Linked DNA regions of Lonchura striata. The main gene of each other region encodes a partner of the protein of the gene in region 2 in a complex. Links are inferred from orthologs where the notes say so. Each region holds a gene or a part of one and is shown on either strand. Other genes may lie near its edges. The genes, in order: CWC27 and CRNKL1.

Region 1 (15,603 bases), on a different chromosome or scaffold from region 2:
CTGTTAAATGGACCAATTCCAACCAACTACTGCATTTTGCTTTGCAATAAATCATAAATATTCAGAACAGCATGTTGTATTATACTCCTGAAATACAACATCAGTTAAGACAGTTTAAGAAATCCTGTCTTGACTCACTTTCCCAGATTCTTGAATGTTGACAGTTCTGTTGCAGTTTTTTCTCAACAGAGCAGCATTCAAGACACAAATTTTCAAGATATGAAAGCTCAGAAATGTATCAAATGTGTACACATTCACAGAATGCAATTAAAAAAAATGAGCTGTAATTTATTTTTCAAGAGTTAATTGTTCACTTTGTTGGAACCAGTCAGCTGCAACATGTTCTATTTTTATGCAGCAGAACTGACAGCATGCCCACTTTAACATTCCTATTACTTTTCATCACATGTTTATGAATTTTCATTCACAGAAACTAAAATTTCCCATGTCAAAATGCCTGCTTCTTGCTAAGTTCTACAATGGGGGAGAAATGATATATGAGGAAATAAGTTTAAAAAATCCCAAACAACTGAGCTGTGACCCAGTTATTCCCACCAGGAGGTTTTAACTGCAGTGTCATCTCAGATGACTGCACATAGCAGGACATAGGAAAGAAACTACCTGCTATTATTTCAAAAAACTACACTGTGCATGAAACAGTTACAGCTCAGCAGATGCACAGTAACATTTCAGTGAGAGAAACTAGATTTGCATGACCCCACCTCCCAGAAACAAGGAAGGACTTCAAACGCATAAATGGAAGCAAAAACTTGCCAAGGTACAAATTAAAGGTGAAAGAAAATGAACCACCATTTCTCTTGCATATATTTACTTTGTGCCTTTTACTTTAGACTTTTTAGTTTCTTCTTCTGGTTTGTCTTTTTTCAGTTTTCTGTTTGGTCGTGGGACAATGTCATCGAAAGGATTAAACAAAACCTGTTTAAAAAAACAGTATTTTAAACATGTCTTTAGCAAATATTTTGTAATTAAGTGGTTTGATATTTTAAAACAATATGCAAAAGGACAAGCCAAGTTTTCTGAAGACTATGCACAAAAAAAAATTTTAAATGTCACATTTCAAACAGAACATACTCACCTCACTACTCCTTATTTTGTGTGGACTGAGAGGTCTCTCTTCCTTGTCAACCTCTACTTCAGCCAGACGCAACATATTATATATCGTATCCCCTGTAACCTGGCAAATTTACAAAGAAACGCTTGAAAGTGCAAGACTGTAATTTGTGTTATTTATTCTTCAAAATACAAGACAATTATTATGTAAAAAATTTTGAAAGTACAGGTGCTATAGGAAATACTGTAAGCATGTAAGACTTCTAAAAGACAGCAAGTACAATGTAATGTACTTGTAAATGTACACAATGCAGTACTAGTAAATTTTAAAACTCAAACAAAAGTTTGGGTTTTAAAATTTAATGGCAAAAGTTGAAGGAATACAGGTAGTTTTGAGAATGTATGCAGATAAAGATGTTGAAGTCTTACTGTGAGCTACGAAACAGGAAAACAAAAACCACTGAAATAAAAAAATGTTTGCTTTGTTTTCTTTTAAGTAAATAATGAGAGTGGTAAATTAATCTCATGTATTTCATCTTCCTGACCCTTCTTGGGTAATTAGAATCTAATTAATTCTAAATAGAATTTTCTAACATGTCATTAGTATTAGATGAACTGATTAATTACAGAGCCATAATAATACAAATAAGATTATTTACAGGCAGCACAACATGAAAATACAATTTAGAAGAATAACAAAAGCAAGATAGATAATAACAGGAACAACCCACAGAAACATATAAGAAATATATGCCAAATATAAGAAACGAAGAGAATGGAGAAAGCATAGAAAGCACTGAAATAAATTTCAAATGCACATAGCAGCAAACAATACTAAACCAGCCTTCAGAGAAACTTGTAGTAGCTTCTGTCAGACTTAAACTGGGATTCCAATTAATGTAACAGACCTTTCCAAAGATTGTGTGCTTGTTGTTAAGTTCATCTGCACGACCCAATGTAAAGAAAAATTGACTCCCGTTATCATGGGGCCCAGCATTTGCCATAGCAACAAGTCCTCTTCGATTAAATCGCAATCGTGAGTGGAACTCATCCTGGTAAAAGCAGGATAGAAAAGAGAATGAGTTCAGTATTAAGCTATCTTTTCACTCCTTTAGCTGCAGCATGATAGGAGATAGGAGTGACACTACTTACATCAACATGCACACACAAAAAATGCTGCTAATTTTCTTTTAAATTCAGACAGTAATAAATCCCAAGTATTTTGAAGCTCAATGCTAGAATTATACTTAGACGTTCCTACTATGAGCAGTAAAAATTACTTTTTGTCAGTATTTCTAATCCCTAGTGCCTCTCATGATGGAAACAAATGAACAATCTTCAAAAGAAACCATAAACCAACAATTAACAAAAACCAAACAAAAAATTAGAAACTAAATTATCAATAACATAAAGACACATTACTAATCAAAAAACTTTTAAGTTCTGTCTTGTTAATTTTATCTTTTTTCAGTTATTGCCTAAAAATCAATTGTTATTCATTATTTTTTTTTGCATTTGTTATCCTCCAATATTAAGAAAATTTTAAAAAGTAACTGCATTTCATACACTTCTCGCAAAAATACTATTCTTGACAATCACTGTATTTATGGGAAAACTGAATTTAAATCCTAATTCATGTAAAGTTACTAAAAGCACAATAACAGTTTGTAATAGTAGAGTAATGCAAAAATCCATAGGAAGAACATTGTCGAGAATTAGGAAGACAAAATAAGACTCCTTTCAAAGCAAGGCGAACATGTTGAATACCACTGCAATATCACAATTCTAAACACTGCAATACTGAGATACCACTACTTTGAAGCAGCAATGCTACTACAATATTGGTAATTTTTGTTTTGTTCTCTGCTCAGGAACCATTCCCTCCCACAAACTTCAGGCTTGTGCGAAATGCAAAAGTCAGCAAGAAGTTGGAAGGCCTAGAAACAGGCTTTGCAGCTTCAGTCACAAATTAAAGGTGCCTGCCCCACCTGAAATAAAACAGTCAGACAGAACAGAACACAGCTGCTCAGCCTGTGTGTAGCTTTGCTCAGGATCTGAGCCCCCAGGTTTATCATTATACCAGCATAGCTAGATCTAAGAACTCTCAATTTAGAAGGGGATATTCAAACACACTGAAGTAGCACATGAAGGCAACTACTGCTCAAGTATGTGTTTCATGTAACATTTGATTTTTCAGAACTTGGTAGGAATAACAAAGGATAGAGAATACCCAACAAATTAATGTGTAAGTAACAGATACACACCTTGAAAGGAGCTCCATAGACTGACTCTCCTCCTGATCCAGTACCAGTGGGGTCACCCCCTTGCACAATAAAGCCAGGCACTACTCTGTGAAATATTGTGTTATTGTAATACTCTAAAAAAGAAAAAGAAATATATATATTTTAAATACATGTAAGTGGTCTCAAACCCAAACTTTCATACAGATCATGCAGTGATATCCAGAGACTGAAGTTCCAGAAAGCAAATACTGCAACTAGATTCCACTGTTGGCTTCTATTTGTTTCCGTTCTATTCTCCACAGACTTACGAAATCACAACCTGTGGTATCACATGCTTCTTTTGCAAAAAATCCTGCCCATCACTGACAAGATGACCTTGATGAATTACATTCTTTTCAACTTTTAAGATTTTATTAGTGGAATGACACTATCAAAATGCACCAATTTTAAAGGAGAACTAGAAATATGGTGCTGTATCCTGGATGAGATCTCACATACAACATTAGCCATTAGCAATACCCATATACAGATGATTTGCACTTTCACTCACTAGCATAGAACATCTTTAATCACCTGCACTGTATTGAAACTGGTAATTTTTGCAGAATAAAATATGTGGTACATTTTGCTCTCTAAGATATCTTCTTTTATCTATCTGATAGAGGTTATACGATCATAAGAAAACAAAAGGATTGAAAACAAAACTTTACCTGAATCAAACCCCTGGTTGATATAATAATAATAATAAATAATTCTGTAGCATGTTGCAAGATAAGGCAGGGTGTGCAAATGTTGCAGCATAACTAGACACAGTCATGGATGGTTATATGCTAGGATATTAATGAGAAATACTTAAATGTATTATAAAGCACAAGATGCTTTACAGTAATTAAAAAAAATCAGACTTAAATTAAACCCACTGAGCACATATGAACCTTTATCATGGGCTTAGAAATTCCTTTACCATTGCAAAAAGTCTCAACATTCAGGAAAAGAGACTGGACAAAACAGACTGGATCTATGCTGGAGGCACAAAGCTTAGACTGCTATTTTTGTTTAACATATGAAGGCAAAAAGAACTCTTCACAATTTTACAAATGCTTAAATAGGAGAATAATACCAGTTAGAAAACATATAAAGGCATCAAGCCTTTCATAGATTTTTGTTACAGTTTTCTCAAAAGGGAGCTTCTCATTCAAGAACCCACTAGTTTGCTGGAAAGTTTTACAGAGCTTTTATCAATCAAAAAATACAGTAACTGAAACATAAGGAGTGCTCAGGGAAAAAAGAAAAAAGAAATGATAGTGTAAATTGTGATGCAGAAATGACAGTTTTGGAGAATGGCCAATATTGTATCACTGCCATTTTATGCACACACTGATGTTGTTATAATTTGTAGACATTTGCTGAAAGAAAGCCTCTCAAGACTCAGAAAGACAATGTTTCAATTCTAGGTCATCAGCTTAATTTGAGAAAATCATCCAAAATTTTTATTTTTTTTCTCCACTAGCTTCATTGGTAACCTTGAAAAACATTGCCAGAGTGTTAACTAATAATTTCTGAACACAAATAAACCTATTGACATACTAAAGTCAAAATATAATTATGACCTCTATTTTACAGAAAGGGCACAAAGATCACGTAGTAATTAATTTCAACAGCTCCCCACCCCATTCAATCATTACCTTCCATACATAGCTGGATGAAATTTCTGCATGCTTTTGGTGCTTCTTTTGACCATAATTCTATATCTATCTCTCCTGCAGTAGTTCTCAGCAAAACCTATAAACACACAGATAAATGAAGACTCAGTTTACTGTAACTTAGTCACTGATCAAAGGTAAAACTGCCCAAAAAAATTAAATCTGAATTTGTTATATTTGTAAGAGTGATATATATTTAAGTATGTCAGGTAGCTACTGTTAGTTCTAACTAGCATTTCCAGAACTTGAGATACAGCTCTGAATCAATATGCATAATAAAGATGTATAATATAGTTGTAATAACATAACATAATATAACATAACATAACATAGCATAACACATAACATAAGATGGCTGATGCTTCACAGAAACTTTAGATACCCTTTATCATTTCTATATTGAGCAGCATGGGGGGAAAAAAAGCCATAAATATCCAGATATTGCCCTTACAAGGAACATAATATCCAGTGAGAGATCATAACAAAATTAAGGAGGTAAACTATAATCCGAAGCAGATTAAATTAAAAAATTAAATTAAAATTAAATTAAAAATTAAATTAAAAACTCCGAGGACTGCTCTGTGTTATGTCTCCAAACATCACGCCACATGCTTTGACTCTGGCAGCCTCAAAGAAGTAACTTTAACCAAACCAATCAACCACAGAAACAACGACCTCTCCACCCCCAATCACCACCACCACCACCACCATCACTATCATCACCACCACCCCAGCTCGTGTTCCTCTCGCCTGTCCCCCCATAACCCTACAACATACAGCTTCTCCAGGATTTCACCCAGGCAGCCTCACCTTCCCGTTGGTAGGCGGCTCCTGGATGTAGATGTTGCTCATGGTGGGGAAAGGAGCGGCCCGGCCGGCGAGCCCTCCCCAGCAGCCGGACCCGCTTCGCCGCCGCCAGCACTTCCTACCGCCCCGAGCCGCCCGCCATGCTGGGCGCCCCTATGCAGCCCAGGGGAGGGGGGACGAAATTGCACAAGCCGAAGAAAGGATGAAGGAACGAGTCCTCGGCCAGAGGCTTTCCGAGATTCACTGAGAAACAACGTGTCTGGGGAAATGTCGGCAGGCTTCTCCACACCTCTCGGGTCTCCCAGCGTTGCTCCCGCCCTAGGGGCGCTGAGGTCCCCTGCCTTCCCTGGGAGTGGTACGATCCGGGAGTGCGCCGGGCAAAGCCTTCCGGTGGGGACAGGCGTCGCTGCGCTTGCGGGCCGGTGCAGCGCGGCGAGAAGGGCGCGATGGCTCTGCCGGGTGAGGGGCGGCCGGCCCCGGCCCCGCAGCCCGGCACGGGAACGAGCGGCGGGGCCGGGACAGCCGGGACAGCCGGCGGGGAGGGCGCGCTGCTGTGCGCGGCGCTGGGAAGCGTGTGGGAGGCGGCGGGCGCTGCTCCGGTCCGGGCTGGCGGGGCAGCGGCAGGAAGATGGAGGTGGAGATGGATGAGGTGGAGGTGGAGATGAGCTGGAGATGGATGAGGTGGAGGTGGAGATGAGCTGGAGATGGATGAGGTGGGGCCGTGCCCGCGCTGGCAGGGGCAGCCGGGGGCGCTGCGGGGCCCGTCCCGAGGCTCGGGATCCCGGCGCCGCGCTGCCATCGCCTCCTCTGAGGCTGGAGCGAGAGCGCGGTGGCTGGCAGACTTGGCTTTTCCCTAATGCTTGTGTCCCAGTAGATGGTTCTTGTGGGTCAGGGCAGGCAGAAACACCTGCGCGATGTGCAAGGTGTTCAGGTCTGTGTTGGCCATTGCTCCGTAGTGTGCTCTTGCCCTGAAAACAGGGCAGTGTTTGGTTCGAGAACAGCCGAACAGGCCTGAGCCTTGGTGATCTGCTTCTCTGATTAAACGAAGGCCTTCATAAGCTTGTTCCCATTCTAGAAGGGGTTTTTGAGGAAGACGTGTTTGCATTCAAAGGTTTCCACAGGTTTTCTTTTCAGTCTTACTCTCCAGTGAATGAAGTCCTTAGTTCTGTACCACTTGTTAATTGTCTTGAGAATTAAGATATGGGAAGGAGTGAGAAAGGAAGCTTCTTGCAATTAGTTTGCTTTTAGTCAGCTAAAATTTCATCTAGTCTAAGCTCCTGCTTCTAACATTATTATTTAAAGCCTAAAACAGTAACAAAATTTCAGTCGCAGGAATCTGGTAGGAATATTTGACGACAATATTTACATTCTTGTCATCTGCTGGGTATCTCTTGAAAGGAAAGCCTGCCTCACACGGGAGATGTCTCTAGTGTGCACATGACTTTACTGACCTCGCTTGGCTGGAATACCAAATCCTTCTTTATGTAGGTCAGCTGTGCAGTGGGGTTGAGGTTGACTCAGAATTTTTTCAGAAAATTGGGACAAAGTAGGTGGCTTGAGTGATCTTGTTTTCTAGTCTCAAGGAGTAGTGAACAAGCAAATGCTGGTTTGAGTGTTTTTCTGATGTGACATTGCAGGTTGCGGGTATGCTTTTGCTTTTTATTTTGTGACTCTTTCTTCTATGTTCCCTACCTCCTTGTATCCCTCATGGGTGTCCTTATAAAGGTAGGCACGAAACAGGTACCTGAACACTGCTGACCTTGAAGGGGATATGTAATACTGAGGGTTTGAGATCTGCTGAAAATCACCTGTTATAGTGGAATTATGGATCTTTGTTGCTTGGCTTTCCAACACTCTTTAAGGCATACACTTGAGTTGTCCAAGTTTCCAAGGTATATTTTTCAACTTGGGGTTTGAAGGTTTCTGTTATTTTGAGTAGAATTTTCTAAAAACAGTGCTTGTTTCAGTAAGTCATAGTTTAAATTAATGTGACCAATGTGCTCAATTTCTGATAGTATATGACTGCTTAAGTTGCTGGGGTTTTTCTACTGTATTCAGTTGGAAGACAGAATGGTTTGATTCTGGGAATTCAGTTGTCACTTTCATTACCAATAGCTTTAATGATTAAAATTAAGATTGATCTGTTGGGGGGTGGGGCAAATCCCTGGTGCGTCTCCTGAATTGTGTCCTGCGGTGTCTGTTTCACTTAACTGTTGTCTCACGTGTGAGAATCACACACTTTCAATACCTAAAATTTGCATTATTCAGATCTTCTTCCTGCTTAGAATCCAGATTTTTCTGTTGCTGACTCTGATTTCTTGCATTTTTTGTGTTTGGTGTCATGTTGTCTGGATTCAGAATAATTTAACAATTTGTTGACTTTTTAATTTCCTTCTTTGTTTTCAAGGATTTATTTTTTGATTTGGTTTGGTCTTTTTAATTGCTTTGTAAGGTCTGTTCTTGTAATTAAAATATGAATCACTTCAGAGTTTCCAGTGAATGTCTGTCAACATCCTTGCAGTGCTGGAATTTATATTATGTGCTACAGATCCCTGGAATGTTAGATATCTCTTACTGTGTTCATACTGTAACTAAACAAGTGGAAAGGTCACAATAAATCAAATTAGGATTTGGCATTAAAATAGATAAGACTAAATGATCTCTAGCAGTTTAAATTAGTCAAGAGTGTTCTGATAGATTACTGCACAGAAAAGTAGGCTTAGAAGTGCAGTTTTTTTTAAGAGATCTTGGTGTACTTAATACTCTTGAGGGGTAATCACTTCTGTCTATGTATTGACATTGTCAAGAAACATTTGAAAGAGACTTGAAGGCTCTCTTCAGCAACACCTAATTGGTGAAATTTTCTCTTTCAGGTGGAAATAAGGATAATATCAGAGCTGGATGCAAGAAGTGTGGCTACCGTAAGTCTGTAATAAGCAATATGAAGTTACAGTGTTTTCTTCAGTTTATGGTGTTGATTGGAACTGCTTTTTGAGGAGAGGGGGGAAAAAAAGGAAAGACGTATTCTCCTTTGTTGCCCAGACATTTGTCAGTTTAAAGTACTATGTTATATTTCTTCTGTTTATTTCATGTTCATTTTCTGGTTTATGTCACTTATCATTACTCTTTGAGTTTCTTAGCAAAAAAATTATACTATTATATTTGTACATACTACATTTCAATGCAATTACTTGAGAAACTTTTTTCAAACTTAATTGAAAGTGCCTTCTTTGATATATACTGATATAAGCACTTGTGCTTCTTCTGAATCTGACTGCAAAGAAGCAGGCATTTCAGTTGAAGTTAAGTCCAGTCTAATTCACTAGAAAAAACAATAGTTTAAAATCTGTATAATCATTTACGCTAAGAAAATATTATTTTGTGCATTGTGTATTTCAAGAAACAGCTACCGTTATTGCTTACAAGTTCTGCAATTGGCATTTAGCTCATGCTTTGGATTATACACTAGTTGTAAATGTCTGTGGCTACTTTCATGATTAATGGAGACAGGTCTTAGTGAAGATTTTAAATTTTTAATCACTGATTCTTATTTTTAGAACATTGGAGGAATGGATGCTGTTTTGTACTGAATTGTTTTGAACTTTTAGCTCAGTGAGTTAAGCTGTTCGGATTCTTTATATGAGTGTTACAGGGTGACAGGAAAAAAAATTTCTTCATTCTTTCATTTCAGGCTTTTGCGACAAATTTTGTCAATGACTTGCTTTGTGTATCTGTTCCTTCAAAGAACAGTGTATATTAATATAGATTTAGTGCTTTCTTTCTACATGCAGCAAGTATCAGAAATTTTCTGAAAGAGAAGGAAACTTGTCATATCATGTGATCCATGTTTATATGTTCCTAAAAATATCTGTCTTCAAGGTGTAGGTAGTTTGTTATCATCCTTACTAAGAACATGAGCTTATTTCAATTACTACTTGAATTACTGTGTCTCCCAAACCATATCTTCCATTTTTTTAAATTTTACTTTTTAAAAATTTCAATGAGTATTCAGCACAAGGTTTCTAGCTGGTCATGATTATCAAGATGTAACTTAAAAACCAAAAAATACTGGTCAGGCAGTAATTTAGTCAGTATTAAGTGCTGGCTGTTAAAGAGTATGTCTCATGAGTAAATAGGATTCTACCATTTCACTAGACGGAGTTAAGCAATGCAATACTTTCTGTAGTTTTTTAAATATTTCATGCTATAATTTCTTAAGAAAGTACCTAAGACCATTCATTAAAAAATAGAAACTAAAGTTGAAAAAAATCTTCAAATTAGCAGAATAGGAGAGAGGCCATAAAGCACTCTTAAATAGGTTGTGCAATGCTCTTCTATCAAATTCTTGGAGAGTTTTTCAAAGTAAGTATTCTCCTGCCCCTTTCACAGATCACAGACTCCCTTTTTTCCTTTCACTTCTCAAAACTGAATAATACAAAAATCAATTTTCTTTTGTTTTTGATGTTCTTTTGGTAAATTGTAATTTTTATTTTTGTATATTTATTTTGTTCAGCTGGTCATCTGACATTTGAATGTCGAAACTTCCTCCGAGTAGATCCCCAAAGAGATATTGTTTTGGATGTTAGCAGCACTAGCAGCGAAGACAGCGAGGAAGAGGAACTACAGAGATTACAAGCCATGCGTGAAAAAAAGAGTAAGGTGTTTTTTGTGGGTTTTGGATAATAGTCTTCTGACATGCAGAGACTCTCATTTTATCCTTTCTGATAACTCCTTTTAGTTCTTTTGGCCTGTGATTTAAAAATAGGTCTTTTACTTTGTGTTTAGACTTCAGAGGTTTGACACAGCCACACTCTTTTAGTATTATGATTAATTCCTTGTATAGGAAGTTACTAATGTATGTGTTTGGAATATCTCAAAAGGAGCTCCTAAATACAAGAGATTGATTGATATTTTACTAAGAAGAAGCTTAGAATAAAATGACATGCGTGTTCTGAGTTAATCTTCTGATTATGACATATAGTATAAACATCTTCTAACTACTGAGAAATATGACACTTGAATTTCTCTCCAGTTCCTAAGTAGGATTTTGACTGAAACAGCTAGTAGACTGGAATTCAGTCATTTGTATTTTGAGAAGTACTGTTCTATATTTGGAAGGTCTGAGTATCAGCTCCTTGTCAAAGTGAGAATAGATTAATTGTTTATCAGATACTTGAGTTCATTTGAATTTGGACTCCAAAGATGTTGTGCACCTAAGTAAGAAGGGGAGTTTGTTTCACCTCAATGTGTTGTAAATTAATGAACATTATTCTCCTCCACCCTTCTGTTTTTCATTATATTTTGTTCTTTTGTTTTCATATGTGCTGACATTTAGTTCCTACGGAAAATGCTATTTAGAAAGGAAAAGGGATAGATAGAACTCTATAGTTGTACACGTCAAAAGAAGTGGATGGGCTCTTTATCAAGAGTGTTGAATTGGTACTGCAATGGTACTTCCTTGCAATAAGTCTCTTTGGAAAAAATATTTACCACTTGTTATGTATTTTTGAATGTAAAGGTTGGGTTTTTTCCTAAGGTTATTGAAGATGGGTATCTGCAGGAAAAACAGCTATGTCTCACAGCATTGCTGTTTGTGAAACATGAAATAGGGATGTGTGGAGGTAACTCAGGGAAGCCTAACAGAATATTATTTTCTTTATTTGTTCTAGTTTTCAGACTTTGGACATGTATGTTAAATGTTAAAACTGTTAACATACAGAAGAATCACAGAATCACTAGGTTGGAAGAGACCTTAAAGATCATCGAGTTCAACCCATGCCCTAACAGCTCAACTAAGCCATGGCACTGAGTGCCACATCTAGTCTTTTCTTAAACACATCCAGGGATGGTGACTCCACCACCTCCCCAGGCAGACCAATCCAGAACTTTATCACCCTTTTGGTGATAAAGAAGAGATATGAAAACCTGAATCTTGTGTAAATTTATAGGAAAAGGTCTTTTTGCTACATTTTACAGGACTTCCTTCATTTTTAGTGCTTAGATCAATGTCAATATAAGTTGTCTATAAAAGTCCTGCTGCTACTGCAATATATTTCTGAAGTTACTATACTAACCAGAATTTGAGGGAAGGAAAAGAAAGCTTTTTAACAAGAATTCTATAGTAACTTGACATCGCTATTGAACTTACTTTTTTAATGCTGATCTTAATTCAGACAAGTGTTCTGTAAACTTTAACTTTCTACCTATAGATTTAAATGAAGAGGAAGAAAAAAAGAAACAAAAAAGGAAAAGCAAAGAGAAAACAAAATTAAAAAGACCAAGGAAAAGGTAACCTTCACACACTTCTATTGAAAACACAGCTTTAGAAATATTTTTGAGACTTGTGTTTTGTCAGAAAATATTGCTTCTATTGATGCAACTTTCTTTGCAAGTACTTCTTCCATTTGAAAAGTTTTCTTTTTTCCAGTGAGAACTGACTAATGATAAAGCATTGGTAAAATAATGGTAAGGTAAATGTTCTTAGATTAATGCTGGAGTCACAGGCTTTCTGCTGTGGAGTTGGGATCATAGGAGTTTTGAAAGCTCTAGCAAGCTGCAGGTCTGCAGATCAGAAAAAGCAGAACTGCCCCTGACTGTCCAACTCTAAGCAAGCTGTGATGGGAAAAGAACAAGCCAGGAGGATTGTGGGGCTGGTCCCCAACCTAGCCAGTCTGGAGAAGGCTCTCTGAAATTCAGAGACTGTAGGGTTCTTTGTGTGCACACATGCATATGTAAACATACCTGCAGGCACACACATATGTAAGCACACCTGCAGGCTCTGAGTGACTCGCAGTTATCAAAAGGGAAACTTCTGTAAAATTGAACAGGTGTTGAGTTTTTATGTACCTGTTAACATAGAAGCCTAAAATGTCATAATATCCAATGTATTATGAATCTAGATTCTGGCCTGTGGACTGACTTACTTTTTTGGGGTTTTTTCAAGTGACAATATAGATGAGACTAATGTTTCATCATTAAGACAATTGATAAGAGAATATGCCAGAAACTGCTCTGTAAGGTAACACTGCAAAATGTATATGAAGATTTCCCTCCAAAACAAAGAAACAGGATTTAATACCTGTTGTATTTGCATTTTTCCTTTTCCCTATTTACACTGTGTAGTTCAAATTTCCACTGTTGAAGACATCCCTTACACTTGTGAAGAAATAGAATAGAAAAGAGTCAATCTGGTTGTCAGTTTTGTGAGTAATGAGGCCCACTCTTATAAAATTTTTAAAAGTTTAATAAGGAATAAAAAAAAAAGTAACAGTGCTGGGTGCATAGCCATAGCCAGATGCATGTGGTTAACTATAACAACTTTTCTTACGTTTTAATTGCATTGGTCAAATGCATATTCATGAAGATTATACATACTCAAACATTCCTTTGAGTTTACATGTTCTGGGAATTCTTTAGCTTAGTTCAACTCCTGACCTCATCTTCTTAGATGCGTGATGTGACTTTTGAGAGTCTTGCATTTTATTTCCTCACAATAGTATGAGCTGCAAGAACGTAAAAATTTTTCATAACAGTTTCTCTTACATTTTTGCATCAGGGACATATATCTGAAGGCATTAATTAGCATTGTTAATGCTCATAGGGGATTTTAAAAACAGAAGCTCTATCTTGTTGTCATACTTTATTTTTTGATGGTCTGTACTCTGGGTCTTTCTTTTCTCAAAGACTGAAAACCCAGACAACTTGCCTATTCCATTATTTTTTAATCTGTATTAGAAACATAGTGCTTTTCTGGCATTAAAGTCACATTAGGAAAGTCATAATTTAATTTACACATGCAGACCAAGATACAAGCTTACCAGTGGATGCTACTGTACAAATTCTACAGCAAATTCAATTTATGACATTACAAAAATACTGACACCTTAAATTTTTACTGTGTAATTTTCCTTCTTTAATTACATATTGATCTGCATTTTTTTCCTAGATCTTCCTCATCAAGTTCAGCAGAAGAGGATGAGCCAAAGTCAAAAAAACAAAAATCACACAAAAAAGAAAAGGAAAAGGGTAAAAAGCATAAATCTAAGAAAGGAAAGCATCATAAAAAGGAGAAGAAGAAGAGACGAAAGGAAAAAAGTTCATCTTCTAGCAGTTCAGACAGTTCAAGCAGTGACTGACATGGTGGTCTATTTTTCCTCTCGCTTTTGCAGAGAAGACAATTTTCCTTTCATAGCAAGTTTATTTATGCTTTGCAATGCTGTTTTAAAATGAGATATATATTTTTTTTGAGAAATCTATTGGCATACATCAGTGCATCAAATTATTAGATGGACCATTTTATGAAAAAAATCTGCTTTTCTATTTCAGGTTTATTAATACTAAACCATGCAACTTCTTCACTCATATTTTTAGTTCAGTTGTGATTGTGTTTGAAATCCTTTACAGTAGGATGTAAAGAATGTAAATTCCAGTTTGCAAGCCTTTGTGTAGATAGATACGGACTTAAATATGCATAATGTCAGAATGGTGTGTTGTGGTGTGATTTTGGTTACATCAGATTTGGAAATTCAAGTGAGATTTTCTATTACCTTTTAAATAAATGTATGTTTTACACAACATTTTCTGCTTACATACATTAATCAGTAAGAGCAAATATGAATCAGTGTTCAGGGCCTGAAAGGGGAAATGAGCAATGAGAAGCTAAAAAAGATTGAGCCTTCAAAATTATCTTCTAAAATTGATCTAGTCATAGACTCTGAAACATAATTACACATTCTTTTGGCAGGATAATTATGAGCAAACTGAAAATAAATAGAAGCAAACAAAAGCTATCAATTTTTAAAGTCCTTTTTCCTTGGATTTTGTTCTTTTACAGTTATGGCCATTTCATCTTTGATATAGATGTAAAGGTTTGGTTATCAAAACAAGACTTCTAGTATTAAACTTCAGCTATTTCTTCATTTATGTCAATTGTTATTAGCTTTACTTTGCATGAATCAGACTTTTGAAGGCTAACCCTGGCATAACTCCTGCTGTTGTATAGACCCCAAGTAGTGATTGTACCCTGCTAGTCTACAGCCTCCAAAGCTCTTGCAATATAAAGGTGATGCCAATACAAAAGAGTGCCATTCCCTGTCAGCTTATCTCAGATACAGAATGAAATGTGTATTTCCAGAAAGACAGACAAGAATAAAGCATGAGTAGTATGTGGGGTGGGCATGCCGAGTTCCTAGACTACTGAAGAGTCAGCAACCTGCCTTACAATAAACTCTGAAATGCAAATCAGTCTCTGTCAATACGCACCAGGAAACAAAAGCTGATACTTGGTGTTTCCTTCAGTCATCTATCCCAGTAGTGGAAGCTAAATGTGCACATTGCCAATTGAGCTGCTAAGCTGGGAAACAAACTGAGCTGTAAAATGCACCAAGGCCTGGAATAGCTGAATTGAAACTGAATGAAGCTCTTGTTTCACAAATATCCAAAGGAAATACATATTCACGGTACAAAAATTACAGCTTCAGCATTCTCTGCAATTTGTGAGACTCCAAGGAAAGCCTTTCAGTCTCTTTTCACAGTTTAGAGTACATAATTTCTTCAATGTACTTAGAATAATTGAAAGTTTCTTTCAACACAAATAATGTTGTATAACAGGTATTACTCTAATTTGAATACATATCAGATGATACTCTTCCATACTTAGTAGTTTTCATGGTCTTTAGAGGCATTTTAACAATATACTTGTTGTCTTCATAAACTTCTGAAGTCTTTTGATGCTATTAGCATCTTTTGCAATGTGAGGAAAGTGGTGTGTACATCACTGA
Region 2 (15,251 bases):
TTTTTCATTTCAAAAAGATGCTATTTCTTGCTCCCCATCACACCCTGCTGTCCCCTTGTGCTGACATTCAGAGTGAACCTGCTCAGCCTACTCCTGAGCCTGCCCGAAGTCCCTGTGATTGCTTCTGTCAGCAGCTGGGACTGGCACAAAATTTGGCAGGTGCTAATTTCCTACAGGCAAACTTCCCATTCATCTACAAGGCTTTTTAAAACACTATTGTTAGAACAAGTATCACTGTAAGCCATCAGCAACAGCTAAGAACTTGTAAGAGCACTGAGCTGATGTGGGTGCCCTGCATTCATAGGAGCGCTTTGTTGTTTCTGCCAGGGGCTAATTCACTGGAACAAGCTACATTTCTTTTTAAATCATACATGACAGTAAATGCTGGCCCCTGCAGACTTCTTGGATGCTGTATTTTAAGTGGATTAAATCAGCAATTTAAAAAAGACAATTTAAGATCTTTTAATAACATTCCTGTGTTACTATTAGCAAAGTCAATTATGGCTCTGACAAAGCTTACCAAAGCCCTTCTGGCAAGGGGGAGGTTTTTCTGGCGAATTTCAAACTGTGCATACAGCAGCCACATTTTAGCAAATGTAAACTGGAAGAAAAAGAACAAAGTGCTATTTAGGCTGGAAAGTCAGTATATAATACTGTACACGTTGCTTAAAAAAATAAGCATTCTGTCTATACAAGATATGACTGCTACTGCAGTTAATCTCATTTGATCTCAGTGTTTTCCTGCTGAAAGGTTTAGGGTTCATTATCTAAAACAGCCTCTACAAAAGGACAGTATATTGGGGCAAAAGCAAAAATGGCCAGGACAGAAGTCTTTTAAACCACAGAAAATAGTTTTTTAACCAATCATCAACTGGCATGACATCAGCCAGTGCTGAATCAATCAATACCTAATCAGCTCTTAATAACTAGAGATTAATCTGACACGCTCATGACACAATAAATGACAAACTAGGAGAAGAACATGAACAAGGATTTTCTGACGTTCCAAGGCAATGCAGTTGTAAGGGTTTGGCCACATGGATATTTTAGTTAAAGTTCACAAGCAAAAAAAAACCATAAAACCCTAATCAATCAGCCTTGAAGACTGATTGTAATGGGGAAGAGAGACCTGAAAGCTGTTTTGTCAAACATAGCTGCCTCAGTGGTGGTGACCATGGAGGCCACTGGATGCTATAAAAAGTGTTAACTCAGTTAAAAAGAGCCTCAAGTGCCCTACAGAGACTGCAGGAGACTAGGCTGTGAGCAGCTACAAACGATGCTGCCTGAGGAGGAATGCAAGCAAGCAAAATCTAAGTGGTCTTCCCTGTTTTCTGACTATGTGCAATTTCATCTTCTTAGGGTTTGCTTAGCAACTACTTAGTAATTTGAAAATACTGAAAAAACCCTTGTGTCTCATATGTATGAGGGAATCCTGACACCAGTGCTTGCCCTGCAGTTTCCCTCTGTGATGCCAATTACAGACATCTTGCACTCTTGCTGGAAAACCATTTTGGAAGACGGAAGTTTTGAGAAACTGGAAGAGATACTTGAAGTTTTAAGCAGAGTCTCGATGAACCTACTAGCAGCCATTTGGAGCTGCTTACACCCCTGAATGTAGCAGGGGAAGAGAAAGGATCTTATCTAGGGCATTTTAACCCAAAACTCAAACCAAACTGATGGAGGAGCCATACCTTCTTGTGGGGCAGGAGCTCAAGGCATGCCTGGTACACCTGTCTGGTTCGCTCTGCATCCTGTAAAAACAGACAGCATGTAAAACACTCTGTTGACTGCTGAGATTATGCTGAATTTGAATCTTGCAGTGACTGCAAAACTGCAGAACAGCATCTAAGTTAAGCTGGTTAGAATCTGCAATGCTTATCTACTTAGTGTGCACAGTTCAAAGGTGGTAGCTTCTGCATCAACAAGACTCACCTTTTCAAAGCAAGGTTCAGTGCTAGGAAGCCAACAAAAAAGAAGTGTCCTGGTTGTGGGAGGAAAAGTAAGTCTTTTCCTTTAACAGTGTTATGTGTAGTAGATATAATTCGCGCCATTTCTAATATGATATATGTGATATTGAATATTTGTTAGAGTATACACGTTTGTATTAGGATTTCCCCCACACCCTAATTTACAAGTAAGATGTCTGCGGAGATAGGGAAACCCCAGGTGCTGATCATCGCATAAACAACCCGAGATGGATATCATGGAAATCCTCAGACAGATACACGTGAATGCAGCCTTCCTGTAAATTTCATCAAGGGATTCAACAAACTCCAGACACTGAATTGTTCTCCCTCATTACCAAAAAAAAGAGAATCTTATTAACATATCGACTCCGAATAGAAGAAAAGACTGATTGCTGAAATCTTGGCCTCAGGTGGAATTTTCCCTATAAAAACTGCTTGTAACAGGATGGAGGTGTGTGGGCATGGGGGAAAACCTCTGCTGAAGCTGACTCCTTGTTGTACACCCAGGGCCGACCCCGGGCTCGGTTCTGTTCTTTCCTTGTGGCTGGCTAGAGAGAATTTGATTGCAAAATAAATATTTTATTTTTTCATATTAATTTAGCTGGACAAATTTTCATTTATGACAACAGACACTGAACAGGTGTTCCATACTCAGAGCAGCTCTAATGTTCCAATAAATACTTGCACAGCCTCAAAGGTTACAATGACTACAACCTGGCTGCTTCACAAACAGTTTTTTAAAATATAAAACTATTTCACAAGTTCAGGTAACAGTCTGCCATGGGCAGTTCAGCCAGGGCCACCAGAAATACCCACTCCTGATTTTGTTATCAGTGTGTTTCTGAATGAATTGGGATAAAATGAGTTTGGCTTTTTCCCTCCCTTATGCACAGAAGGGAAAACTGGAAGAGGAAAAAGTCTCTGTATTTAAATAATAAATCCTGTAGCATGTTAGTAACACAGAGAATATTTAGTTCTTGGTTTTCCTATTAAAATATCAGCAGCTATTTACTATACAAAAGGGAAACCCTGAATTGTCACTACTTGCCTTTGCCTCCAGCTCCTCATAGAGTGCATAGTTAATCCAGAGGTAGATGTATCTCTTCCAGTGGCGTTTCTCCTGGATGGGGGGCACGTTGGCAATGGCTCTCTCATACACCTCCCGCACAGTCTCGGTGTCCGTGTCGCTCTCCACCAGCCGCAGGTAGTCAAACCATGCATCGTAGTTGTGGGGGTTTGCCTTTCAGAGACGGGAATGGGGCAACAGCAAACAAGCTGCAGTCACTAAAACTAACAGAGCCTCATGCTTTACTTAGTCAGAATTTCCCCTTTAAAACAGATCACTGGAATATTAATGAAAACTGTCAGTCTTGGGGATGGTTACGGTAGAGCTTTTAGCTTAGGAAAAGTGACTTTTCTTTAAATTTTGTTTTTGTTTTGCCCTCAGCATTGTCTCAATGAAGGCAGTCCAAGCAAAGTGTCAGAAGGGATGAGGAGTGATGAAATGTGCAGTGTGGACTGAACAGCAGACAGGTGTGGCACAGGTGTTTTCTCACTAAAAGGTATTTATGCACAGGTGAGGTGTCCTATAATGGATATTCCCTAAGTAGTAACCACAAGCTAAACTGCATTATCCTTAAGGGTACCAAGCCTTGAGTTCAATCCAAAACCCTCACCTGCACAATCTAGATTAGAAAGCAGAAACAAAAAAAGCAGTGAATTTAGATACCATTCTCTTCCCCAGGGATGGAATTCTGTCTCTAAAATGAATATTCCCTTGGTGTTTTTTTGGACTGACTTTCAAGGGTAACTTGAAACTCATCAGCCTTGATATCACAAAATACTCGTGTCCCTTAAACACCAGCTGGCTGTACAGTGAGCCTGGAGGGTACCTGTCCTACATACCTTCACCTCCTCTTCATACTGAAATCTCCTCTTGCTGACAATGATGTCCTCAATTCCCCTCCTGTCTCCAAACTTCTTCTCAAAGATGGTGTAATTCTTGAAGAGATTCTGGGCGTCCTGCTTTGGAATTCTATCCAAGGCATACTTGTAGATAACCCTCACTCTTTCAAACTAAAAATATTAAATATAATTTCATAAATATTTACAAAGCAGTTTCTGTCCTCCCTGACAGCATTTCAATGAGCTTTTGGCAATATTTAATAGAATACAGAATGGTGAGACATTCCAACATAAGCAATTGTTTTAAAAGAGGACTAACACAGATCTCCCTGAAGAGTAAACTCTGAGGGGGAAAAAATAAATCTGAAAATGCCAGCCCCCATCATCTCTTATTCATTTACAGGTTTAGAATATTTAAACCAATTTAAGAGGTTGTGGTTTGGGGTTCACAGAATGTCTTCAATTTCATAACAGCCTGGGAACCTTAGAAACTGTGAAAAACATCTAGACCAATCCAGTTTTCTATCATGCAGGCCCATAACCTCTCAGAACCCCTCCAGTCTGAGGATACATGTTTGAGCCAATGCTGTTGGTCCTGGGCTTGGCAGATCTCCCTTAGAACACATTTTATTGATGGCACCAAAAGGCAACTAGAGGTGAGCAAAAAACTGTCTCCCTAATTCAGACTACAGTCATGAGGGGCTGAGAACTGCAAGTACTGCAGTGAATGTTAAATGCCTTTAGTTTGATATTCAAGGAGAAACACTGGCATGACTCAGATCAAGAAAAACTTACTTCTTTCTGGTTCTCCTCAAACTTAGCAAATGCCACATACAAGTGCTCATCCATGTGCTCCTCCCCGAAGAACTCCACTGCCCTCTCATACACCTTTCTGGCGTGGGCAAAGTAGCTGTGCTTCTCCTCGAAGTGCGCGTATTTGATCCAGTTCTTCACGTCAGGGTGAACGAGGACAAGTACAGCTATTGTTAAAGAAACAGTGCTGGCCGAGTGGCACATCCCCAGCTGTGTTCTTCCCAGGGACTACTGGGTCAAGGACTTCATCAAACACCTACCAGGATGGTACATGTGGGGAACAATAAATGCAGCTAGGAAGAAGACACTGACAGGTATAAGCATGCAAAGGTTTTGTGCCTTACTGTGAACTTAAAAAAGGATAAGGGTCAGGGAATATCTGAGGAGAAACAAACGATAGCTACAAAAGAGCTGGGTGCATGAGCAGTGCAGTTAAACAGACACTGTTGTGGTACAACCTGCAGCCACTCCACTGAATCTGGAGGCTTTCCCTAAACACGCTTTTAACACCTCCTGCTGGTTCCCAGGGTGGTGGGTCATTCCCAGCACACCACAGTGAAAAGGAGTACAGGGACGTTGCTGGACATGGAATATTTAGGAAGGAAATAAAGAATGGAGACCTTAACTCAGGCAGGAGTCACAAGACTCTGAAAAGGATATATCTCTCATAAATGCCTCGTGCTCTGTCCACCTCCTTGTATCTGAGCTCAAAGTTGATGTAGGAATGCCAGGCTTGCTCCTCTGGCTGCCACTCCATCCACCGTTCAAACACCTGGCGTGACCCAGCGACATTCCCCAGCATCTCCTCCATGTATGTGTACTTGTACCTGGAGAAAGGAGATTGAGTTTCTGCAATCACATGGGGAACATATCCATTCAGGGATTTCTGGAGTGCTTCCTAAGAGTATCCCTGAGCTCCCCTCACCTATTTCCTCCCACCCCAGAAATGTCTGTAAGCACAGCAGTGACTGGCAGTATCCAGGCACACAAACACCCTTCTCTCCCAAGGCTCTTACCACTTAAAAAGTACAAAACCTTTCCAAAACTTCAGCTTTCCTCCATTTTTTTCAGACCAGCCTGAAGAGAAGCAGGATAATCTGTATAACCCCAGAACAGCCAAATACTGTGGGGGTCTTTGGGGCTAGAAGGGGATCTCACTGCTTGGCCACCATACCAGAACTGGTTCACCCTAGGCAGGGTGGTGATGGCCCGGTCCCAGATGTTCCGGGCATGGTTGACCTGGCGGTTCTTCATCTCCATCTCGGCATATTTCAGCCAGAGGGTGACGTTCCTGTAGTCCACATCCAGAGCACGCTCGTAAATGGAACGGGCTCTGGAAAACATGAGTACAGGGCAGGTAAAATGTGCCTCCTAGACTTTAGTGTGTGTCTAAAAACGCCCTTAAGATATGCCTACAGTCACATCATCATTACCTCTGTATTTCCTTCAGGCTTTCCTCCCATTGTGCGTACTTTATCCAGTTACTGATAACAGTCCTGTTCTTTCTTATGTTATCTTCAAAAGTCTGAGGAGAAAATTTTATCTGTAAGTCAGAAATCCTTGTGCAGACAATTCACATCAAAAATGGCTTATGGGGTATTATAATAACCATCAGGAATATGCTTGCTTAGCTTAGGTACTTTCAAAGCAAAAAGCCAAGCAAAACCATGGGTAAATCTGCATGAGCAAAGCAATTCTTTCAACAGAAGATTTATAACTCAGCATTACTGTAGTGTCATTTACTGTCTTTGTTCATATTTTTATAGTGGCTGGCCAGATACTGCTGGTAATGAAGAAAACTCCTATTAATTGTGTAAATAATTACCCTTTCAGTGTTCTGAACACAGGCACAGTTTCAAGCAACACATCTGTAAATTGCAGGTTCTGCTAAAGAGTAGCATGAAAAAAGGTTTTAAAGAATTTGTGTTCAACTGGAAAGCCCACAAGGAATAGGGACTACATCTTGTTTAAGTTAAAAACAGTGGAATTTTAGTGCTTTATATGAGTGTCAAGATTAAACCGGTTTTTTTTTCTTTTTAACTGTACCTTCCTCTTCCGGAGTTTATAGTCATTTAGCTCTTCAACATCTGTGATCTTCTGCTGCGGAGGCGGTGGGAGAAGTTCGAGTTCCCTCTCCTTTGCCTCTCTCAGAAGCTGCTCCGCTGTGATCTGAACTTCGGCGGGTGCCTTGTTTTTCACCTGCAAGGTAAGGACAAGGGGGGCTCGGCTCACATTTCTTAACGCAGTACCGGCACGATCAATTTCCTCCGGCGCCTCGCGAAGCGCGGTGCCCGGCGCGGGCGGGGTCGGAGCCCGCCGGGACGCGAAGCCCGAGACGAATGGGTATCGAGGGGTCCCGGGGGGTCCCCGCCGCCCTCCCCGCCACCCACCTTCGCCACTTTGGGGATGCGCTGCTTCCCCGCTGCCGTAGACGCCATTTTTCCGCCGCTGCGCGCGCCGGCCCCGCCCCGGCACCCCTGACCTCACGCAGCACCGCCCGAGCGTCGTTGCCGCGGCAACAGCGACGCGTCCCGGTCGGCGGCGGGAGGGCGGTGGGATTGTCCGTTCCGTCCGTAGGACCGCTCGGTCTGTCTCGTCCGTGGGCTCAGCTGTTCCATCTGCGCTGTCTTTCCTGTCCTTGGGGCGCTCCGTGGCCACTTGGCTCTGCAGCGCCGGGGACAGGGCAGGTGAGTGCGCGCGCTGCTGGCCGGGCGATGCACGCGCTCGGCGGGGCGCCCCCTGGCGGCTCGGCGGTGTAGGTCTGTCCGCGTGCGTGGGCGTGGCCACCGTGCCTGAGGGGGCTCGCGGCCGGGGGTCCTGAGGCCGCCTCGGGCGTGTCCAGCCCCGGTGTCCAGCCCCGGTGTCCAACCCCCGTGTCCAGCCCCGGTGTCCAGCCCCGGTGTCCAACCCCGGTGTCCAACCCCCGTGTCCAGCCCCGGTGTCCAGCCCCGGTGTCCAGCCCCCGTGTCCAGCCCCCGCCGTACCGCCCCGGGTCCGACTCGGTCCGGCTCCGCCCCGCCCCAAGTCACCAGGGGTGCCCCTCAAGAGCCTCCCGCAGTAGCCTTCCACAGCTCTTCGCAGCCCTCCCGAGGTATGTGGGCTACAAACACCAAAGAAACCGCGTGGAGTCTTATGCTTCAAGAGAGCGTTTGTGTGAGGAGGCGGGAGGGAAGTGCTCTGAGTGCGGGAGGGGAACGCCCTCCTCTTCTTGTTCTGCTGGGTGTCTCTGGGATCCTGCTCCGCGGGACGAGTGCAGAAGTTACTGTAGGAGCAGCGTATTTCCTTACGAAAATGGTACATTTTTACTGCTTTCTCTGGCTGTGGGAGCGTTTTGGGGAGCCGGTGGAGATGCGTGTATTTTTTTTTTTTTTTGGGGGGGGGGGGGTTAACTTAAAAATTGACTGAAAACGTAGCAGTTTTCCTCAGTTGAAGTCATCTTAGTGCGCTAAACCTCAGCCGATGAATAGCCCTTTAAAGTTCGTGTTAGTTTTCATTTTTAAAATTGACGCATGTTTGCAGAGGATGTGTTCCTTCAGGTTAATTTCAGGACCTGCGTTGACGCTGGAATGTGAAAGATGTAGGAGTGCATGTAACTCTGTATTTAAAAGGTGTGAAAGTCCGAATTTCTTTTGGTTTTTCATTTTAGTTAGGAATTGAGGTGCTTGATAACTGAGCATCACATTTGCATTTGGGGTCACTGTTGGAAGTGGCTGTTGTGTTTGGCAGAGTGGTGGAATTGCTCTGCTGGTCCAGGTGTGTTGGCTTAGATTTTTTTTTTTTTTTTAAGTTAGTACTGCTATATTTTGCATATGAATTTTAAGAAATTGCGGGAAGCCATTGTTTGGTCGCTTTATTTCACGTGCTTGATTGTTGACTGGGTCACAGCAGGCTGCAGTACTGAGCGGAGACACAGAGACACAGAACTAAAGGGTGTTAGACCCGAGGGAATGGTCACAAGTGGTTTGAGGATCTGATGCCCCGGTGTGTTCTAAAGTTGCTGGACGGATCAACATATCAGCTGTGCCTGGCACATTTTCTCAATGTGGAGCCATTAAAAAAAAAACAACTTTTTTTTTTTTTTTTTTTTCTGTGTAAGAAAGCAGTAGAACTTTGAATAGCCACAGAACTTTGAATTCCTTCAGAAATTTAAGCCTTACTGTTGATCTCAAAAGAAATCCGAGAAGGAGTTTTGGACAAAATACAGTGAACTCATGTGAAACTGCTGTTTAATTGGAACATTGTGTACCTGGTTGTTTGCAGCTGAGTCTCCAGCCTGCTTCCCCTGACTGCCCACAGCTGAGCCTCCCACTGAAGGCCTTTGAGTTTGAAGTTCTTGGTGATGAGCTGGTTAGCATGCTAATGAATAAATAGGAAAGCAGCTGTAGCCTATTAAAACAATTAATTTCCTCTGTAGGATCCAGACCATAGGAGTAATTGCCTACTGCATTTCAGGTGTGCAACGAACAGGCAGTGCCTGTCTGTGTGGTGGTATGCAGGAGCCAGGCACCAAATCCATACAAACTGCCCCAATTTAGAGTTTTTATGAAAACCCACCTGAAGTGACTGTGTTGGGCAGGGGATGGCAGTGGATGGCTGGAGCCAGAAGTGTTTTCCTTCGTTCTCAGTGCAGCTTGTGGGATGGCCACAGTAACTTCATCAAGGGGAAATACAGATGTGGTCACTGCCAGAAGGACAAAGTCACATGATGTCTCGGGCATTATCAGCCTCTTCAGACCTGTCACAGAAGACCTCTTTGGAAGGATTGATGTCACTTACCTTTTGTAAGTAATGGTGTTTTAGGTTGTCACCTTTCAGAAAATTACACTTAAAATGGCAGAAAACATTCTGACCCTTGACATGGTGTGGCATAATGATTTTTTGTGCTGCTTCTAAAAATTGAAAGAAAATCTACTTTCATGTCTGTCACATGATGACTGTGCAAACCTGGGTCTCTGCCATGATGGAGAAGGTTTAATTCTGTACTAGCTTCTTTTTGTAAAAGATCAGAAGAAATGCTGTTGAAAAAAGCTGTCAGCAGACAGGCTGTGTGATAGATACTGGTGGGTCACTTATGTTTTCCCCCTTAATAGCAAAAATCACGCATAACAGCTGTTTGGGGAAAAAGACATGTGTGAAGACACATACAAATGTTTTGAAGGGAATGTTTAAGTCTTGCATCTCAAATTTACTAATATGAGGATTTGAAAATCCTCCTGAATTTTTATGATGTTAGAGCACAAATGTGTGGAACTGAAGTAACAATTCCAAGTCAGCATGTGGATGGTGAAGTTTAATTCAGGCCTGATCCTGGGAACCCTCTTGAACATGGCTAATTTTGCTGTTCAGCAGGCTGAATTTGCAGTAAGTCACTTTTCTATGTGGAGTTTCTTTAACTTGTGCAAAATTAAATTATTTTCATAGAGAATTATCAAATCTTGCTTTAACACTCTGCAATGAGAAGAATGAGGTTATAGCTCATGCTGCCTTTCTGGACTATCCGAATTGGAATATCACTGATCAGGCTGAATGGGAACCATTCCTGCATGAAAACTACACTAACAATAAATGCACTGTAAGTAAATAGTGTGATTTTAGTTGAGTTTTCATTTAAGGTTCAGGTATGGAAAATACACATAGGCATCTATGATCTGTTTCTGGTAGATTTGAGGCATTCAGGATACAGAAGGTGATGGAGTCCTTGTCAAACCCTCGTGCTGACAAGGGGAACCTTAGTTCTGCAGAGAACTTTTTCGGTGCTGGTGGGGAGACTACTGCTCTGTGTCTTGCTGGCTGCTGGTGACTTTCACATGGGCTCCTTCGGTGAGCTTGTGACTTTCTGGTAGGATCTACAGAAACAGGCCCTTACAAGTTTAGCACTCAAATGCTCCCACATCACCAAGTCCAGCTGGGAACTAGATTGTGGAATTGTTGAAAAAATACAGAAAATGTTAAACCCCAAGCACTCATAAGGTGTGCAGCATGTGCCATTAAGAGGTGTTGGCAGTGCTGCAGTTATCTCTGGGCATTTTGTTCATCAGTTGCCTATGGTCTTCTGTAGTGTTAAGTAATGGCTTGAAGGTAAACTGACAAAGTGTTTGAAAATGTGTGCTCTTAAAGGAAACACCACCAGTACAGCCAAAGAGAGTGTGCAGAAAGGACCTGTGATTTCCTAGTAATGGACTTTGTCCCTTGAGCAGCATTTTGTGGACAGCCACTTCATTCAGGCTGCAGCTTCTCTGTGGGTTCTGCTGTGCTATGATCTCCCTCAGGCTGCGTGGTGGCTCTGTGGGATCTGGTGTAGGGGTCTGCAGAGAAAAGAAAAATGAATTACTGTTCAGAACCAGTAGTGAAAAATATCTTTAAACGGGCAGCATTCTATTTTTCTAGAATGGAATTTATTTGCTAAAGGAGGTGTAGAAGAGTCAGTGTTTTATGCTTCTGCATTGGCAGAAAGCTGAACATTTTCTGGCGTATAACTTGATGAGATGTCATTGGTAAACTGTAGGTTAAATCCATGCAGGTGTGCTTTTCAAAACTGAGGTCATCTGAATGTAGGAATTCTGTGAAGTATAGTTGACCTGTCTTTTTCCTAGAGTACAGAAATAATTTCAGGGTCTGAAGTGGGAGTTGAATTGTGCAGAAAGGGATAAGTGAAGATGCTGTACTGGATTGTCTGGTTACCAGCACTATCCAGAAACAGTTACAGTCCACGTCTGGTATACTTGATGTCCTCTCGGACCTCAACAGTAATATATTTTTTTATTTCTTCCCTTTGCTTCTAAAAAAACAAACTGCCTGATTTTTAGGGATGTCTTTAGATGTTTGTTAGAATAGCTTGTTGTCCTGATGCTGGTCCATGTACTGCAGCCTCTATTGAAATCATTCTTGCTCTTAAATTGCTGAAGTTTATTGGTGCCTCTAGCTGTGGTGTTTTAATTGAATATTATACTATTCAAAAGATCTCAGGTTTTACATTTAAATTATTTTTATCTTCAAGCAGACCTTTTCTGACCCAGGACTTGTAATTAATATGCTAGAGAACAGATGATTTAATAGCCTTTGCCATTCCAGCACAGGGGTTTTCCATGTTTAGTGGAGGTGCACAAGATAAAGGTGTCTGTTAGTCTGCTCTGTTTTTGCCTGGTATTTGTGTGTCTAATGATGTCATGTTAAAATATGTAATTTTTCTTACTACCTTTAAAGAAAAACCACTTTAGGATTATTAGAAGCAGGTGAGCTTTCGGTTTGTGGTTTTTCTTTTAACCTTAAAAGAATGTCTTTGTTAGACACATGTTGAGTGTTTAATGTGGTTGGATGTTGTTAGTCAAGAATTAATACTGTTCAATATGAAATGTACAGCATGTATTGCAGTCAAACAATAGTAAACTGAGTAGAAAGAAAAAATGTTGCAGAAGCACAAAATTATATAAAGCACTTTAATCACGTAACTTTACCCACACATGCTTTGAAGTCACTTATGTATATTTTGCTGCTCCTTGAGTGCAAATCATGTATATTGGAAATGTATGTGTGTACTAATACTTGAGCTGATGGAATTAACATGAGCTGCATGGTGTGTAGGCTTTCATTCCTTGTTTTGTAGCCTTTGAACACACTCTTCATGCATCTCTTTGTGGCAAAGGAAGATTATGCAGCAGGATGTTCCCAAGAAATTGTTAGGTGAGTTCCTGTGTAGCCTTGGGTGGTGAGGCGCATGCCCTCTCCTGCTGTCAAATCACGTTTGTCAAGTCAAGAAGTCTCATCCAGGTGCCCTGTCAAATATCTGCCAGAAGAGGCCTGATATCTTAAATATTTCACCACTGTGAAACTGCTATAAAAGAGGATGTTTGAAATTTAAAGATTGGAAAATTTGAAAGAAATAAGGTAGGAAAAACTAGTCAAATTACCCAGATAAATTTCACATTATATTGTTTGTCAGAAATGTTTTAATTGTTGAGCCATGTGGACTTATGAAGGAAGGTTCTAGACACTGGAGGAAAAAAAAAAAATTATATATTAAAAAAAGCTAGCTGCTGTCTGTCATTGATGGGTGTAATAATAAAAGACTGAATATGTTTGTTATTTGTACAGGAGAGCTTTCATCTTACTACCAGAACTGGAGTTTATACTTCTCTTTATACCACCTGAGGATAGGTTAGGTAAGAACTTAAAACTCTTTTATTCTTGAGGTGAGAACAATTGCAAACCTGATTAATATGCTCTGTGAGCTTGTTGTGGTGTCCTTTTTTTAATACTGAGAACAGTTTCTAGACATGTGAAAAACATAATCTAAAAGTATCTTCTTGTGAAGATCCCATGTGCAAGAGGTACCTGTGGTTCTATGCTCACTCCAGTGGCCATTCAGCAGTCCGTCTATTCCCTGCAATCTTTAAATTTGCCAGAAACAGGACATCAGAAAGGAGTAAAGATCTCAAAAATCAATACCTACAAGTTTTGTGAAGTTTTCTGGTTGAATTGAGCCAAGAGACTTGAAATTGGTCACTTTCTCTTACTTAGCCAAGCCAGTGCAGACTGGTCTCACTTTGGTGAGACTCAGAGAAGCTGCTGGAGACATAGAAGGAAATTTGGATTATTTCTTCTAGAACAGAGGTACAAAGGTAGAGAATACATGTGTTAATCAGAGAACAGGACCACATGGAATTTTGGTCCTGAATTGTGACCAATAAACCAAGCATGCATGTAAATTGAGCTGAAAAGGGGGCTGGGACTTTTCTGATAATGCTGGCTTCTAGACATGTTGGTTCCAAGTCACACTAAAAGACTGCAGTGGTGTGTCAACTACAAAAAACAGGGCTTCTCTCAAATCCACCCTGGCAACCACATTAGCTTTCCTTCAGTACTATGAGTCCTGACAGAGATTCTCCAGAGGCATAGAGAATTGGCTGTATTATTTTTATAGGGATTGTTTTCTACCAATTTCTGATTGCTTTGAAGCTTATTCAGGTTTGAAATGCTGGATTAATTACATGACTTTGGTGATGATTCTTGCATGTTTATGCTGCTGTCATTTCAGCCTCATTGCCTAACTTAAAAGACTTGGAGCATTTTGCTATCTGTGGTTTAAGTTTGAAACTCCATTTTCCTTAGACAGTTTTGCTGCTAATTTAAAGCTTGCATAATGAAGTTTCTGTGCTGCCCCGACAGGTTTTAGTCATTCAGAGCTGGACATGGGGAATGTCTTTGAAAGGATGATGCCTGTTCCAGGCTCACCCATGGAGAGAGGTTTCACCTTGCTGGCATGCCCGAGGCATCGGTGTCACCCACAGCTGTACGTGCGCCAAGCAAGGTAACGCAGCGTCTTGCTTCCCTGAGCACATCTGACTGGGGAAAACTGCAGCATTTTCCTTCTTTATTTATGGGCTGATTTGGGCTGCATTCTGACAGAAGCCTGTGTCTGAGAGATGGTTTATTGCATATATGGAATTTTACCACATGAGTTTGAAGCAAATCTGCAGCTTGAACTCCTCCTTTTGCTTGACTTTTGAGCATTTTAAGAAAAAGGCCTGAGGCCTGACCTTTGCCACTTCACATCCTCTTGCTGTAGCTCTGGATATTTCAATATTGTAAAATTCTCTCTCATACTGACTCGATGTACAATTGTTAGGCTTTTTGAGTGTTTCTTTTGAGTTGTCTCTCACCTATAACTAAGTGAATGGACTTTTATACAGTGATGGTATCAGTAGGTGGGTTAATGCCTGAAGATTAAAAGTCTTTCCACTTGTCTTGGTTCTGACTATCATGTTTGTCTTTTTTTTTTTTTTTTCAGTTTAAGCTAATTTTTTTTTTTGGTGGCCATTGGATATTGTCAAATGTTCTTTTGCATGATTGGAAATGTCACTTAGGCCATAGCAATATTCCTGATAAGAGCTACCATCTTGTCTGGGATTTTAGTAGTTCGTTATAAAAAGTAAAAATTGCTTTAGCTTTGGTATTATTAGAAAATTAACTGGGAAACAGGTTTTCCTCTGAAATTACACAGTGATGATACAAAACTCATACTTTAGTGTTGTCCATCAGTGGGTAACAGGTAAGACTAATTTCTGTTTGCTTTCCTTTCCCTCTGCATTCATCTCTGTGCTTCACTGGCATCCATAGTAACAGTCAGTGGGAGCCCTTAGAGACTCCTCTGTGGATGTTGTCTGCAGCCACCTGCCTAGCAACATGTTCTGGGGCAGTGGGAAGAGATTAGGGTAATCTCTGTCCCCTCTTCCCCTGTTTACAGAGGGGGAAAAGCAGCTGTAAACTGATACATTGGTTTAACCATAGTTTTGGAAGATACTCTGCGTCTGGCCTTTATAATGTGAAGGATGCAGTGTGTCAGAATGCAGCCCACTGAGCTTTGATGTTTAAGGTTCTTGCTGATGTCTTATTCTTGGGTTTGTGGCCTGGAGGCAAGAGTCAAATTTGCAGCTCTGTGCTTGCACTCACAATAGAGGAAATTTGTGGCATTTTTGTATTGGAAAGCTTACTGGGTTTTGGAGGGTTTCTTTACTTTCTTAAATATTGTGAAACTGGTGGAAGATACTAGAGGTAGAATAAACAAGT

Evidence for each region.
Region 1: CRNKL1 (region 2) and CWC27 share a complex: the UniProt entries of both Homo sapiens proteins name them as parts of the minor spliceosome. The link is inferred for Lonchura striata from reciprocal best matches to the Homo sapiens genes CRNKL1 and CWC27.

What each region holds. Positions count from the first base shown.
Region 1 is NC_134642.1:28,453,124-28,468,726, forward strand, and holds the start of CWC27 (spliceosome-associated protein CWC27 homolog), read right to left. Parts: upstream 6,000-15,603; 5' UTR 5,870-5,999; coding exon 5,828-5,869; intron 5,097-5,827; coding exon 5,000-5,096; intron 3,449-4,999; coding exon 3,336-3,448; intron 2,124-3,335; coding exon 1,980-2,123; intron 1,196-1,979; coding exon 1,097-1,195; intron 937-1,096; coding exon 833-936; intron 1-832. Other genes in the region: protein SREK1IP1, read left to right, coding at 6,271-6,283, 8,698-8,745, 10,338-10,478, 12,034-12,112, 13,770-13,959. UniProt on the Homo sapiens protein: As part of the spliceosome, plays a role in pre-mRNA splicing. Probable inactive PPIase with no peptidyl-prolyl cis-trans isomerase activity. As a component of the minor spliceosome, involved in the splicing of U12-type introns in pre-mRNAs.
Region 2 is NC_134605.1:28,348,450-28,363,700, reverse strand, and holds the start of CRNKL1 (crooked neck-like protein 1), read right to left. Parts: upstream 7,210-15,251; 5' UTR 7,124-7,209; coding exon 7,076-7,123; intron 6,885-7,075; coding exon 6,732-6,884; intron 6,211-6,731; coding exon 6,119-6,210; intron 6,019-6,118; coding exon 5,860-6,018; intron 5,513-5,859; coding exon 5,346-5,512; intron 4,847-5,345; coding exon 4,668-4,846; intron 4,044-4,667; coding exon 3,873-4,043; intron 3,208-3,872; coding exon 3,016-3,207; intron 1,752-3,015; coding exon 1,692-1,751; intron 602-1,691; coding exon 521-601; intron 1-520. Other genes in the region: CFAP61 (cilia- and flagella-associated protein 61), read left to right, coding at 9,324-9,466, 10,107-10,257, 12,289-12,365, 12,777-12,844, 13,851-13,992. UniProt on the Homo sapiens protein: Involved in pre-mRNA splicing process. As a component of the minor spliceosome, involved in the splicing of U12-type introns in pre-mRNAs.